2 linked regions of the Anolis sagrei genome follow. The protein of the gene in region 1 interacts with the protein of each later gene in a pairwise test. Links are inferred from orthologs where the notes say so. Each region holds a gene or a part of one and is shown on either strand. Other genes may lie near its edges.

The links. The genes of interacting proteins can lie anywhere in the genome.
Region 2: the proteins of CBX5 (region 1) and INCENP interact in binary tests that used the Homo sapiens proteins (3 or more experiments, as listed by UniProt). The link is inferred for Anolis sagrei from reciprocal best matches to the Homo sapiens genes CBX5 and INCENP.

What each region holds. Positions count from the first base shown.
Region 1 is NC_090022.1:188,553,074-188,560,783, reverse strand, and holds the start of CBX5 (chromobox protein homolog 5), read right to left. Parts: upstream 3,050-7,710; 5' UTR 2,880-3,049; intron 2,718-2,879; exon of another isoform or gene 2,628-2,717; intron 1-2,627. Other genes in the region: HNRNPA1 (heterogeneous nuclear ribonucleoprotein A1), read left to right, coding at 3,500-3,514, 3,605-3,643, 6,153-6,269, 6,872-7,018. UniProt on the Homo sapiens protein: Component of heterochromatin that recognizes and binds histone H3 tails methylated at 'Lys-9' (H3K9me), leading to epigenetic repression. In contrast, it is excluded from chromatin when 'Tyr-41' of histone H3 is phosphorylated (H3Y41ph).
Region 2 is NC_090021.1:237,572,470-237,579,490, reverse strand, and holds the start of INCENP (inner centromere protein), read right to left. Parts: upstream 3,062-7,021; 5' UTR 2,956-3,061; coding exon 2,937-2,955; intron 1-2,936. UniProt on the Homo sapiens protein: Component of the chromosomal passenger complex (CPC), a complex that acts as a key regulator of mitosis.

The DNA.
Region 1 (7,710 bases):
ACAATAGACTTTCAGTTAACTGGAATTCAAGCAACCAGAACTCTCAAGCTATCAAAGAAATAATCAGATCAGACCCCACCTGTTTGAAATACCTTTTAAATGAACTGCAACAGAAGCCTAGTATTTTGTAGTATTTTATTGTCATATGGAAATTTTAGACTGCTTTTAATTTAATGGTAATTTTTAATTTTCTATAAGGGAGCATCCATTTAACTCTTTTGGGTTGTTTTAATCAATGGTTTTATATTATACTGTATGTTTTAATGATGTTGTGAATTACTTTGGGTCTGCTGGAGAAAGGCGGTATAGAAATTCCTGAAATAAATAAGTAATACTGTATACACAAAGCAATTTTTAAAATACAGCAAAACTGTGATGTTATGTTTGGCTTTATTTGCTTTTAATTACTGTATTTCAGTATGAATATCAAGTCAATACAGAGCATATGATATACTACAGTATGTAGTATTAGCTAGACCTATTTTAAATTGTAACTCTCAAGCAACCAGACCCTAATTTATCTGGCAACTGCCTATACATTTAAAATCTATTGCTTCTCTTTTCCCTTGAATTGCATTATCATTATTATACTACTCTGCCTTTCCCCCAAGATTAGGACTGAAGGCAGCTAACAAATTAATGATCACAATAGTTTAAAAAAAACATTGAGAGTCACTATTAAAGTAAAATCAAACTATTAAACAATTCAAAATACACTTTAACGCAAGGCTGGGCAAGGTAAGAGTGAAATTCCACCCACCAAAATATTTTTTTCTTTCCCCAAATATTCCAATAAGGGTTGCGATGAGTATTTTTGAATTTTGGATTATGTGATTTTAACATTAAGATGTTAAAGCTATGTTTCAATTGTCTAAATGTTTGTGTTCTGTTTAATATGATTTTAATGGTTTCATTTATAGTTATATGTATTGTTTTAGTTATTATGTTTGGTGTGTATATATCTCGGCATTGAATCTTGCCATTACTTGATATACACCACTTTGAGTCCTATCCCCACCCCCCGGGGTGTGAAAAGTGGTTTTGTTTGTTTTGTCATGTCAGAAGCAACGTGAGAGACTGCAAGTTGCTTCTGGTGTGACAGAGTTGGCCGTCTGCAAGGATGTTGCCCAGATGATTGGATGTTTTTATCATCCTTGTGGGAGGCTTCTCTCATGTCCTCGCATGAGGAGCTGGAGCTGATAGAGGGAGCTCATCTGTCTCTCCCCGGATTTGAATCTGCGACCTGTCGGTCTTCAGTCCTGCCGACACAGGGGTTTAACCCACTGCGCCACTGGGGGCTCCTGTGAAAAGTGGTGTATAAACACAGTCAATAAATAATAATATTAAAAACCCACCTACTCAGCACTGAAGAAGTCTCAGTTCTTAGGTTAAACTACAAAAATACATGACACAGATTATTTTTCGTTAAGATGGGTATTGCTGAAATAATATTTCCATTGAAATTTAGCATCATCTCAGGCCCCTTCCACACAGCTGAATAAAATCCCTCATTATCTGCTTTGAACTGGATTATATTGCAGTGTGAATTTAATGTATTGTCAAAGGCTTTCATGGCCGGAATCACTGGGTTGTTGTACGTTTTTTCAGGCTATATGGCCATGTTCTAGAGGCATTCTCTCCTGACGTTTCACCTGCATCAATGGCAAGCATCCTCAGAGGTAGTGAGACAAACGTCAGGAGAGAATGCCTCTAGAACATGGCCATTTAGCCCGAAAAAACCTACAACCCAGTGTGAATTTAGATAACCCAGTTCAAAGCAGATATTGTGGAATTTTATGCCTTAATATTCTGGGTTATATGGCTGTGTGGAAGGACCCTGGGAAAACCGCTGCCCTTTCTGTTTTTAAGTCACCCAAGTTTATGGGATTCCGAGCTTTTTAAACTATCGCTTTGCAATGAGGGCAGCCCCGGCAAACGTTAGCAGGCATTGCCAATTTCTTGAGCAAAAGACAAGAGACACGCACAAGATCTGAAGGGCTGAACGGTCTGCCATGTTGGCGGACCGCAGAGGTACTGAAAGGACATGGACAATTCATAGGTCCCTGGATATACTGGAAATACAAAAAGGTTTGAGATTGAACAAGAAGAGCATTAGAACTAGTTCGATCATTCACTGAATCATGGACTTTACTTAAAAGACTTTGATTTCTTATTATTATGATTACTATTATTGAAAAGCAGGCCCTTATGAGCAGCACAGACCACAAGAGGGCAACTGACTTCCACGAGGGAGGAGGTTCCTGGCGGGAAAGCCGCAAACTCCGCCCGCCCACACCCACACTCCTCTTGATTGGAGAGCGCGCACGTCGCTCGAGAGGCATTCCACCAATCCCGCGAAAGAATGAGAAGCGCCCGCCCCCTCGGTCAACCCCTCCCTCCTCCCTCTCAGCATTCTCTCGCTCGGGCCGCCTCCACACCCTTCGACCCGCCAGGCTGTCACTCATGCAAGCTGGCCCCGCCCACCCTCAGGCCCCGCCCCCTCTTCCAACGGTACCACAGTGCGGTTCAGGCAAGCTCCCAATCACGCCGAGACCACGCCCCCTCCCTCTAAAGGACCGGCTTTCGCTAGCACGCCGCCCGCCGAGTTATTTCCCGTGGTCGCTCACCTGGGAGAGTGGAAAAAGTAACGGCTCGGTGCGGAACCAACTTCCCCCACCCCCTCACAACCGCCGCTTCTGCGCAACGCCCGCCAAAACAGGTTCGCAGTGCGCACGCGCCGAGCTGCCCCCCCCCTCCGCCCCTTTCTCGCGCTGGCGTGAGGCGCGCGCACCGCTCCCAGCGTCCCTCCCTCCCTTCCTCCTGTCTGACACAAGAGTGAACTTAAGGCGCATGCGTGGCTTTTGTAGGCCCCGCCTCACCGTTTGCTGCTGCTGTTGCTGCCTGGAAGCAAGCTTTTATAGATCTGAATGGCCCTTTCCACCTCTTTTATTCTAACCCCCGCTGCCACCTTCGCCAAAGGCGTTGCATACAGTTCTTGGGACCGTTAAAGGAAAAACGTTCTAAGGCTGCCAACTTAATTCCCGCCTCTGTTAAAATGAATGAAAAGAAAGCTGACCAACCGGAAAAATGGAATCCGGGTATGTAAGCCAATCACAAGAGAGATGCGTTCTAAATTGGCCAATAAAGGGAAAGCTACCATGGAGAGGGGGCGGGTGCTGCCTCAGAAATGGCGGAGGACAAAATTGAGGAGTGACAAGTATCTTACCCAATAGCAAGCGAACGGAGGTGGGCAAGCCGTGCGAAAAAGGGCGAGGTCACTATTCTGTTGTCCAATAGGTTGCGGCCAATCTGCCCGCTGCCCAATGGGAGAGGAAGCGGCTTAGGAGACTGACCAATCGTGGTTGGCCGGGGGCGGGCCTTAGTAGTGAAGCGCCGGGGCGCTGCTGACTCTGCCTCTTTCCGCCTCAGCTGCAGAAGAAGGAAGAAGCCGCGTTGGGGAGGAAGCCGGGCTAGGCCTCGCCGAGTGAATATCGCCACCATGTCGAAGTCTGAGGTAAGGTCCGCCCGCGGGCGTTTGTGTCGTGTTGTTTCGAAACCAAACCTGTGGCTTGTTTTTGTGGAATTATGTTTCCTTTGCCTTTAGGGATCGTCCGATTACGGGTGCGATATGTCTCCTAACGAAGTAAGTGTTAAAAATCCTCCCCGCGCCAATGCTGGCTGTTTTTTCCCCCCTATTGGCCATTTTTGAGCTTCTGCTTCGGCCTCCTTCCCCTTGCCGCTTGGGCCTGCTTTTCCTCCACCTTCCCCGGCCACTACGCATGCGCGCTGGCTTCCCGGGGCAGGCGCCATCTTTTACAGTGCGTGGCGTTCTAAGCTTTCCCCCGGCGCCTGTAATGGCTGCGCATGCGCTGTGCAGTCCAGCAGGCTTTCTCTGGAGCGCATGCGCGCCGTAGAGCACAGCTTTTCCCCCTTGAGCTCTGTGCGGGGGATGGGAAAGGGCTGAGCCACGTGATCGCTCGCTTTGTCTCTTGAGCCCAGAATCCTCATTGATTCCATTTCGAACTTGAATAAACCCATTTGATTCATTGTGTCGAAGATTATGCAGTTTGATACAGCTTTAACTCCTACGGTTCAGTATCATTCTGAGAGATAGCCTTTTGTAAGGTCTTCAGCCTTCTCTGCCAAAGAGTGATGGTGCCTCACCAAACTACAACTCGTAGGATTCCATAACATTGAGACACAGGCAATATAATATATTATATGTACTTATAATATTGATTGTAGTATTATAATGTAATACAATATAATACTAATACAGTATAATCTATATAAACAAAAATGTAATGTTCGTTTGTGGGATTAACATAAATCAAAAACCACTGGACAAATTGACACCAAAATTGGACACAATACACCTATCAGGCCCATGAGTGACTATCACTCATAAAAACACTGAAAAACACTGCAGAAGGGAATTTAAAAGAGAAAAAATACATTACAACGCATTTGCCAAACCATATATATATATACACACACACATGCACGCAAAACGCAGACTGGGCCACAGCAATGCGTGGCAGGGGGTGGCTAGTAACATAATAAAATATAATAATTATATAGTACATGTAATATTACTAATAATTTTGCATCATAATGGTGTAGTACAATATAATAATATATGATGCTAGCATTGTACTATGCTAATAATGTAATATATAACTTGTAAGCTGCTCTGAGTCCCCTTCGGAGTGAGAGATGGCAGGGTATAAAATAGTATAGTAAATAAATAAAATAGCAATTAAATTATTAAACTACATAAATTCCATGTAGATGGACATCTTGCCTGAGAAGCATTCTGGACTCAAGCACCTTAATTATTCAGCCAGTTACACTGCTTTTGTAGTATTTAGAGAGAACTGTGTTGGTTTTGGAATATCAATCTGCAATTTTGTTGCAATTTAAAGACTACCTGACTATCCATCAGTTTTTGAGAGACCGCTCTCCCCACTGAGTTGGAGCCAGCCAGACATCGCTCCATCTTATCTTATTGTATTATATCGTATTTATATTGTAATTGTAAAAGTAAATTAATATTTTGGAAAACACCGAGCCTTTGTGACTAAAGAGTGGACTATAAATAAATAAAATAATAATGCTCAAATTTACAAAAGCTAATGCTACCAACCTGTTTTCCTCAGCCTTTAGAATGCCATTACATCCCTTTCCTTTCTTCCATACTCCACCCTTTCTAAGTTGGCGAGGTGGTCGTTACACAGTTCATTCCAAAATCTGCTTTTTATGCTTCTGTTATCTGGTGCATGGTCATGAAAGCAAAACATATTCCCATGTTGCCAAGACCCATGGTGCTCTTTCTGTGGATCCTCTGCACTATATTTACATAGACCAGAAAAAACACTTGTATTTGCAGGCAGCAGTCTTGAGCAATAGTATATATCCTTAGTCATTCATTGTAGCATGCCTTAAAAATTATTTGCTGTGGAGTCTTTAAAAATGCAATAATTTCCCCCAATGGTATGTTTATTTTTTCAGTGGCTCAATTCTGGGTTTTTTAACAGGTCTGCTAGTCAGTTTATTTATATTGCCCAACTTAATTATTCTGACAATTATGTGTGCCAGAAGTGCTGAAAACACAGGAAATGAGGCAATTGTCAGCAAAACCTATATGCTGTAATTTTCAACTCTCTTACAAAATTATGCTGCAAAACACTCTTTGTTTCAGTGTAGAAATTGAGAGAAACCCAGAAAGTACTTAAAGAAACAGTGGCATAATCTGTAATATTTGGAATCTGTGCCTAAGTGCTCCCAATGAAGTTTAAGACTTTGTAGTCAAGAGTAAGTAACATGCTAGTTTCACAAATGCTTGTGGCATGGTAAGAGTGTTTCTTTTCATTTACAGTAGGAGCTCTGCCTTCACAGGGGTTAAAGATACAGGACCCCTCTGAAATGGGAGAATCACAATTATTTTCTTTTTACCTGTGAAAATGCCTCTAGGACTCTGTTCTGGCAAAGGGTGACCATTGAGTAATTTTAGAGGACTTGGATATTCCTAAAGAGAGGATAGTACTAAAATACACAAAATGTAGACGGCGAACAGTTGAGTGAACATATTCTGCAGAACCATCCGGGCAATTTTACTTGTTGTTTTATCACCTTGCTTTTTTCTCTTTTAGTCCCCGAAGGAGCCTGAACAGCTGCGCAAACTGTTTATTGGGGGCCTCAGTTTTGAGACAACAGATGAGAGCCTTCGCAATCATTTTGAGCAATGGGGGACACTTACAGACTGTGTGGTAAGTATCTCCAGCATCTTGAGCACAGCTATTACAAGGGAAACATTTCTGGTTTGGACTGGATTGGGTATTGCAGCTTAAAGGACAGCACACCTAACAAGTATTAGAGAAGCTATTGAAAAAGAAGGGGGCATATTGTTCCAGCATGTTGGGGTGGGTTGGAATTAGTACTAGCTTTGATTTTCCCTTTTGTGTTAATGAAATCTGATATACTGGATAGGACAAATGTGAAGTTACCTTATTGCAAGTTAATCTTAGGAAATCCAGCTCATGAGCTTGGTGGGTATTATATCCTTGGAGTGTGTGTGTGTGTGTGGCTTATGAACTATGGCTGCACTTGGCTTGACAAGATTTAATGCACCCATAATTTCAAATTCATTTAAAACAAGGCATTTGCTGGTTGTTTCCCAGCAACTTCAGTGGGAGGGGTATCTGTGAGAAAAGGGTTGGTCTTTAATATATTTGTTCTGTATCCACTATTAGTTTCAGTGCTACCCATACTTGATATATGACACCACCAACAAACCTTAAGGAAAGTGGTTGCCCCCACTTGGTATATGCAGAACGCAAAATGAAATACTGATTTGAATACTTCATTCTAGGTGATGAGAGATCCCAATACTAAGCGCTCCAGGGGCTTTGGATTTGTGACATACTCAACAGTGGAAGAGGTTGATGCTGCCATGAATGCCAGACCACACAAAGTTGATGGTAGAGTTGTTGAACCAAAGAGAGCTGTATCCAGAGAGGTAAGAACTGCTCTTCAGTTTATTGTAACAGGAATAGATTGAGGTTCTGTACAGGCAGTCTCCAAGTTACGAGCAAGATAGGTTCTGTAGGTTTGTTCTTAAGTTGAATTTGTATGTAAGTTGGAACAGTTATATTTATTAAATCATAACGCCAACCTAATATAGTCAGATGGGTACAGGGTCCTCATCTTTCCTTGTAATTCTTGCTACAAACATCTTAGGTTGCCTTTCTTGTTTTTAGATATATGAAGGTAGAGTCCTAAAAGTGAATTAGGATAAAGAGACACTGAGGAAAACTATGTATGTTTGAAAACTGCATGAATTTTTAAAATAATTATATCAAATATATAAGCGTTGGATAGCCTAGGGAAGAGTGGTGTTTGTTTTACTGCCTGTTCAGAAGATTTCCTCTCATCTTCTGTCCCTGTGATAATTGGATTTCGAAAAAGGTGGTTTGTTGTGGAAACAAGAATTGATGCTGAAGTTCAATGGAGACACCTTTTCTTCATGATAACTTCTGGGAGTGAATTTCCCTTCTGGGGGATAGATTTCCTCTCACTTCCTGCTCTCTCTGTCAGAAATATTTAAAAAAAATTAACTGAGTATTTTTGATTACAAAAGTGGGAGTCAAGCACTGAAAGAGTTAGTAGGCCGAAGTCTTGTGTAAGAGCTCCAGTGTGAAGAGTGCTGCG
Region 2 (7,021 bases), on another chromosome or scaffold:
TTGCTGCTGGAATGGTACTGAGACTTATACTCACTTATTGTTACTTTAAAGGTAAAAGTTTTCCTCTTGACATTAAGTCTAGTCATGTCTGACTCTGCGAGGGTGGTGCTCATCTCAATTTCTAAGCCAAAGAGCCGGCATTGTCCATAGACACCTCCAAGATCATGTGGCCAGTATGACTGCATGGAGTCCCATTACCTTCCCGCCCAAGTGGTACGTACTGATCTACTCACATTTGCATGTCTTTGACCTGCTAGGTTGGCAGAAGCTGGGCCTAACAGTGGGAGAAGATGGGGCAATGCTGACAGGGGATAGGGAAAAGGCAGAACTACTTAATGCCTTCTTTGCCTCGGTCTTCTCACAAAAAGAGAGTCTTCAACCTCAGCAAGATGGAGTGGATGAGGGATTGGAGGACATCCAACCCCAAATTGGGAAAGAAGTCGTCCAGGAATACCTGGCCGCTCTTAATGAGTTCAAGTCCCCAGGGCCAGATCAACTACACCCCAGAGTATTGAAGGAACTAGCGGAAGTCATTTCGGAACCACTGGCAACCATCTTTGAGAGTTCTTGGAGAACGGGAGAAGTTCCAGCAGATTGGAGGAGGGCCAATGTGGTCCCAATCTTCAAGAAGGGAAAAAAGGATGACCCAAACAACTACCGTCCGGTCAGCCTCACGTCGATACCGGGCAAGATTTTGGAAAAGATTGTTAAGGAAGCGGTCTGCAAACACTTAGAAACAAATGCAGTCATCACTAATAGTCAACATGGATTTATCAAAAACAAGTCATGCCAGACTAATCTGATCTCTTTCTTCGATAGAGTTACAAGCTGGGTAGATGCGGGGAATGCCGTGGATGTAGCGTACCTGGATTTCAGTAAGGCCTTCGACAAGGTCCCCCATGACCTTCTGGCAAGGAAACTAGTCCAATGTGGGCTAGGCAAAACTACGGTGAGGTGGATCTGTAATTGGTTAAGTGGACGAACACAGAGAGTGCTCACTAATGCTTCCTCCTCATCTTGGAAAGAAGTGACAAGTGGAGTGCCGCAGGGTTCCGTCCTGGGCCCGGTCCTGTTCAACATCTTTATTAATGACTTAGATGAAGGGCTAGAAGGCATGATCATCAAGTTTGCAGACGACACCAAATTGGGAGGGATAGCCAATGGTCCAGAGGACAGGAGCAGAATTCAAAACGATCTTGACAGATTAGAGAGATGGGCCAAAACTAACAAAATGAAGTTCAACAGTGACAAATGCAAGATACTCCACTTTGGCAGAAAAAATGAAATGCAAAGATACAGAATGGGGGACGCCTGGCTCGAGAGCAGTACGTGTGAAAAAGATCTTGGAGTCCTCATGGACAACAAGTTAAACATGAGCCAACAATGTGATGTGGCGGCAAAAAAAGCCAATGGGATTTTGGCCTGCATCAATAGGAGCATAGTGTCTAGATCTAAGGAAGTAATGCTACCCCTCTATTCTGCTTTAGTTAGACCACATCTGGAATATTGTGTCCAATTCTGGGCACCACAGTTCAAGAGAGATATTGACAAGCTGGAATGTGTCCAGAGGAGGGCGACTAAAATGATCAAGGGTCTGGAGAACAAGCCCTATGAGGAGCGGCTTGGGGAACTGGGCATGTTTAGCCTGAAGAAGAGAAGGCTGAGAGGAGATATGATAGCCATGTACAAATATGTGAGAGGAAGCCACAGGGAGGAGGGAGCAAGCTTGTTTTCTGCTTCCTTGGAGACTAGGACGCGGAACAATGGCTTCAAACTACAAGAGAGGAGATTCCATCTGAACATTAGGAAGAACTTCCTGACTGTGAGAGCCGTTCAGCAGTGGAACTCTCTGCCCCGGAGTGTGGTGGAGGCTCCCTCTTTGGAAGCTTTTAAGCAGAGGCTGGATGGCCATCTGTCAGGGGTGATTTGAATGCAATATTCCTGCTTCTTGGCAGGGGGTTGGACTGGATGGCCCATGAGGTCTCTTCCAACTCTTTGATTCTATGAGCTCACCACGCTCCCTGGATTTGAACCGCCAACCTTTCGGTCAACAAGCTTTAATCCGCTGCGCCACCAGGGCCTCACTTTAGAAATGATATAATACTCCAAACCTCTGACAGTCACAATAACAACACGCTGAGCATCCCTTAGCCAAAATGTTGGGGCCAGATGTGTTTTTAACATCGGAAAACCAAGGGCTGGCTGGCTATCTCATGCATCAAATTCTGGAGTATTTCAGACCTGGAAGATGGGAGGGGTTCAACTGAACATATTGGGGGGCAATCTATAGGGTGGGCATCTCTTACCCAGAAACTCCAAAGGCTTTGAAATCATCCAACCAGGAGAATAAGGTTTGTTCTCTTTGTTTTGGGATGGTTCAATATACTCAAAATGTTTCATGCACAGAACTATTAAAAACATTGTGTATGAAATAATTGCGTGTATACCAGGCCTGGGCCAACTTGGGCCCTGCAGATGATTTGGACTCCAACTCCCACCATTCCTAAGTCCAAATCACCTGCAGGGCCCAAGTTGGCCCAGGCCTGGTGTATACACTTCCAAATAACCCAGTTCATAGAACCATAGAATCAAAGAGCTGGAAGAGACCTCATGGGCCATCCAGTCCAACCCTCTTCCAAGAAGCATGAATATTGCATTCAAATCATCCCTGACAGATGGCCATCCAGCCTCTGTTTAAAAGCTTCCACACTCCGGGGCGGAGGCTCCTTCTTTGGAAGCTTTTAAGCAGAGGCTGGATGGCCATCTGTCAGGGGTGATTTGAATGCAATATTCCTGCTTCTTGGCAGGGGGTTGGACTGGATGGCCCATCAGGTCTCTTCCAGCTCTGATTCCCTGTGCACGAAGGGAAGGATGCGAGGCGGAGGCGGGCGACCCTTAAGGCCACGCAGCCCGCCTTCTCCCGATCCAGGACTTACCCTTTGTGCTCCCCGCCATTGCTGCTTGGGGAATACAGCCAGCTCCGGAGCCAACACTTCCGCAGCCAACTGTTAACGACGACCCGCGCTCTCAACGCCTGCAACCCAGGCTTGCCGCCGTTCAAATATTTTATTTTCAAACTACGTCACAACCCGCGGTCCAATCAGCAGCGCGCGCCTCCCGAACGGGGACAGCCATTGGCTGAGACGCAGCTGCCCAGGTGGACGGAGGGAAGGGCAAACCCGGGGTCACACGAGACTTCAAAGCGAGAGTGCATCCCTCCTGCAGAATCTTGGGGATTGTAGTTTAGGGGAGGGGACTTCAAAATGCTCAGCCAGGGGGGTTCCTGGGCCTCACTAAACTACAAGCCCCAGGACTCTGCAGGAAGGAGGCAACCACAGGATTTAATACTGTTGTTGAAGCCGGAATTACTGAGTTTTCCGGGCTGTTTGGCTATGTTCCAGACGCATTCTCTCCTGACGTTTCGCCCACATCTATGACAGGCATACTCAGAGGTTGTGAGATCTGTTTGAAACTAGACAAATGGGATTTATATATCTGCGGAATGTCCAGGGTAGGAGAATGAACTCTTGTCTGCTTGAGGCAAGTGTGAATGTGGCAACTGGCCACCTTGATTATCATTTAATGGCCCTGTAGCTCCAACGCCTGGCTGGTTGCTGCCTGGGGGCTCCTTTGTTGGGAGGTGTTAGCTCCTCGGACTACACAGAGAAGCCATTAAAATTGACAAACCTGGACAATTTCAACAGAAAGGAGGAAACCATGAAAATGAACAAAATCTGGCTACCAGTATTTAAAAACTCTAAAATCAAAACAGTAAATAAAGAGCAATCCTCAAAAACAGGGGAATTCCAGACAAGAATAAATCAGGGCCAACTAATCACCTCCCAACAAAGGATTCCCCAGGCAGTAAGCAGCCAGACCTTGAAGCTGCAAGGCCATTAAATGTTAATCAAGGTGGCCAATTGCAACATTCACACTTGCCTCAAGCAGACAATTATTATTATTTATTATTATTATTATTTCAGATACTTGTACCCCGCCCTTCTCAACCCCCAGGGGGAGACTCAGGGCAGCTTCCAGCCAGCAACAATTCAATGTCTCCAATGTACACATAATAAAATTATATAAATAAAAATGTAATGTTCGTTTGTGGGGTTAACATAACTCAAAATACACTAGACGAATTGACACCAAATTTGGACACAATATACATATCAGGCCAATGAGTGACCATCACTCATTAAAAAACTGAAAAGCAAAGCAGAAGAGACACATATATACATAAATATATACACATATATACATAAATATATACACACACAAAATACATATACACAGACTGGTCCACAGCAACTCGTGGCAGGGGACAGCAAGTACATAATAAAATCCAGTAATTACATTCATTTAAAGTATTAAATCTCATTAATTAATTAAAATCTGTTTCTGTTTAAAAAACAGCCTGGTGGCTGTTCTTTCTCCCACCCTGGACTTTCCACAAATATGTAAACTCCACTTGCCTAGTTTCCAACAGACCTCATAACCTCTGAGGATGCCTGCCACAGATGTGGGCGAAAGGCCAGGAGAGCATGCTTCATCTAGAACATGGCCATACAGCCCGGAAAGCTCACAGCAACTCTTTAAAGTACCAACTAACTGACGGGATGCTGCGCTTGAGGAAGCGGATTTCTTCGTTTATGTTAGGGTGCATCTATACACTGGAGAATTAATGCAGTTTGATACCACTTGGAACAGCCCTAGCTCAATGCTATAATATCCCGGAGTCATATTTTCACAAGGCCTTTAGCCTTCTCTGTGAAATAGTGCTGGTGCCTCAAGAAACTAAAGTGGTGTCAAACTGCATTCATTCCCCAGTGTAGATTTGGCCACGGTAGTCCACGCTCTGGTTACATCCCGGATTGATTACTGCAACGCGCTCTACGTGGGGTTGCCCTTGAAGACTGCCCGGAAGCTTCAGATGGTCCAGCGCTCGGCAGCCAGGTTGCTAACGGGAGCGGCACTCAGGGAGCATACCACTCCTCTGCTGAGCCAGCTCCACTGGCTGCCAATCCGCTACCGGGCACAATTCAAGGTGCTGGCTTTAGCCTATAAATCCCTAAACGGTTCTGGCCCCGCTTACCTCTCCGAATGCATCTCCACCTATGAACCGACTAGAACATTAAGATTGTCTGGGGAGGCCCTGCTCTCGATCCCGCCTGCGTCACAGGCGCGCTTGGCGGGGACGAGAGACAGGGCCTTCTCAGTGGTGGCCCCTCGGCTATGGAATGCCTTGCCGGCAGACATCAGGCAGGCACCTTCGTTGCTGAAGTTTCGGATAATGGTTAAGACCTGGCTTTATGAACAAGCGTTTGGCTAAGCAGTGCAACCAATCAAGGAAGACGGTAAATGGAACATAGGAATGGCACAAGGACTATGAGAACGGATCTGATTTCAACTGAGGCGTTATGTCTGTTGTTTTGTTGATTTGTCTTGTTTGATTGTTAATTGTTGTGGATCGATGTTGTTGATCCTGTTTGTTGCATTGTTATGTTTTAATTGCACTGTAAACCGCATTGAGTCGCCTGTTAAGGGCTGAAAAATACGGTATAGAAATGAAGCAAATAAATAAATAATAATAAATAAATGCACTCTTAGTTCAACGCTCAAACCAACCCAAGGCTCTATGAGGAGATGCTACTATAGAAAGTGCGCACGCGCCCCCTTCCTGCTTCCCCTGTCCTCTCTTTTGCCTCAGCGCGCCTCTGAGCCAACAAATCTCGACATACTAGTGCGCGTGCGCGTATTTATGCGAGCTGCTGCCCTTCACCGAGGTGAAACTGTAGAGGCGGGACTTCAGAGTGAGCCCTTTAAGCCTTCAGGACCAATCAGGAACACTTGCTCGAAAGGTTTCCCCCCTCCCCTTTCGAAGTACTGGCGGAAGGGGCCGGGTCGTTTCAAGCGGCAGGGCTCTCGTGCGCATGCGTTCAGGAGCGAGGCGTGGGGCGCATTTTGTGCAGCTCGGGGAGCGCTGTTGTACGTGGGGCGCTTGGGTGGATGTTTTGGTTTTCTTTGTGTAGCAGATAAATTGGGTTGTGAGGCTGCTAAAACGAGTTCTGCGGAAGGGAAGGAGATAGGTTTTTTCGCTTCTTGTCTCCCTGAGTAGCAGGCTTGAGACTTGTTTGGCTAAAGACTACAGCTCTCAGGATACCATAGTTAAAATGGTATCAAACTGCATTAATTCTTAAGTGTAGATGCACTCCAAGGGACCAATTACATACTTTTCAGCAGGCGATGTGGCGTTGCTATCTGTGGAAGTAATTGCCCTTAGAAGCTATGATAATTTCCATTTGATGTTCAATATTTGGTGTTACTTTTTTTTTCAGGTTGCTGCAAGAGGACTGCCTTGGGTGTGGCATTTTCATTTTTCCCATCTTGTAACGTCATTATTTCCAGGTTGTTGTAGGTTTTTCCGGGCTATATGGCCAAGTTCTGGAGGAACATTATTTCCCTTTAATATTGTTGGTCTGCTTTGCTTTCTCCTTCAGTTTTAATTGTAGACAGCATTGTTGTTGTACTTTCAGACTTCTGGTGAAGCTGTCACAGAGTTTTCTGGGTTGACTTGCCCAAGGTCAGAAGTAAATTAAGCCCAATCTCAAACCACGACACCTTCCTAGCTCTTTACCTCAGCTTTAATTGCAGTCTGTTGTGTCAAAGTGCATTAATTCAACAGTGTGAATGTTGCAGTTTGACACCACTCGAACTTCCATGGCTCAGAGATGTGGAATCCTGGGAGCTGTAATTTTTCAAGACCTATAATCAAGCTACAAGTAGAAAGTGCTCCCTATGTCAGCAACAATAAGAACAGGATACTGTATATATTGCGTTGTGAGTTTTCCAGGCTGTCTGGCCATAATCTAGAATCATTCACTCCTGACATTTTAAAGCCCTGTGCTGGCAGGACTGAAGACCGACAGGTCGCAGGTTCGAATCCAGGGAGAGGCGGATGAGCTCCCTCTATCAGCTCCAGCTCCTCATGCGGGGACAAGAGAGAAGCCTCCCACAAGGA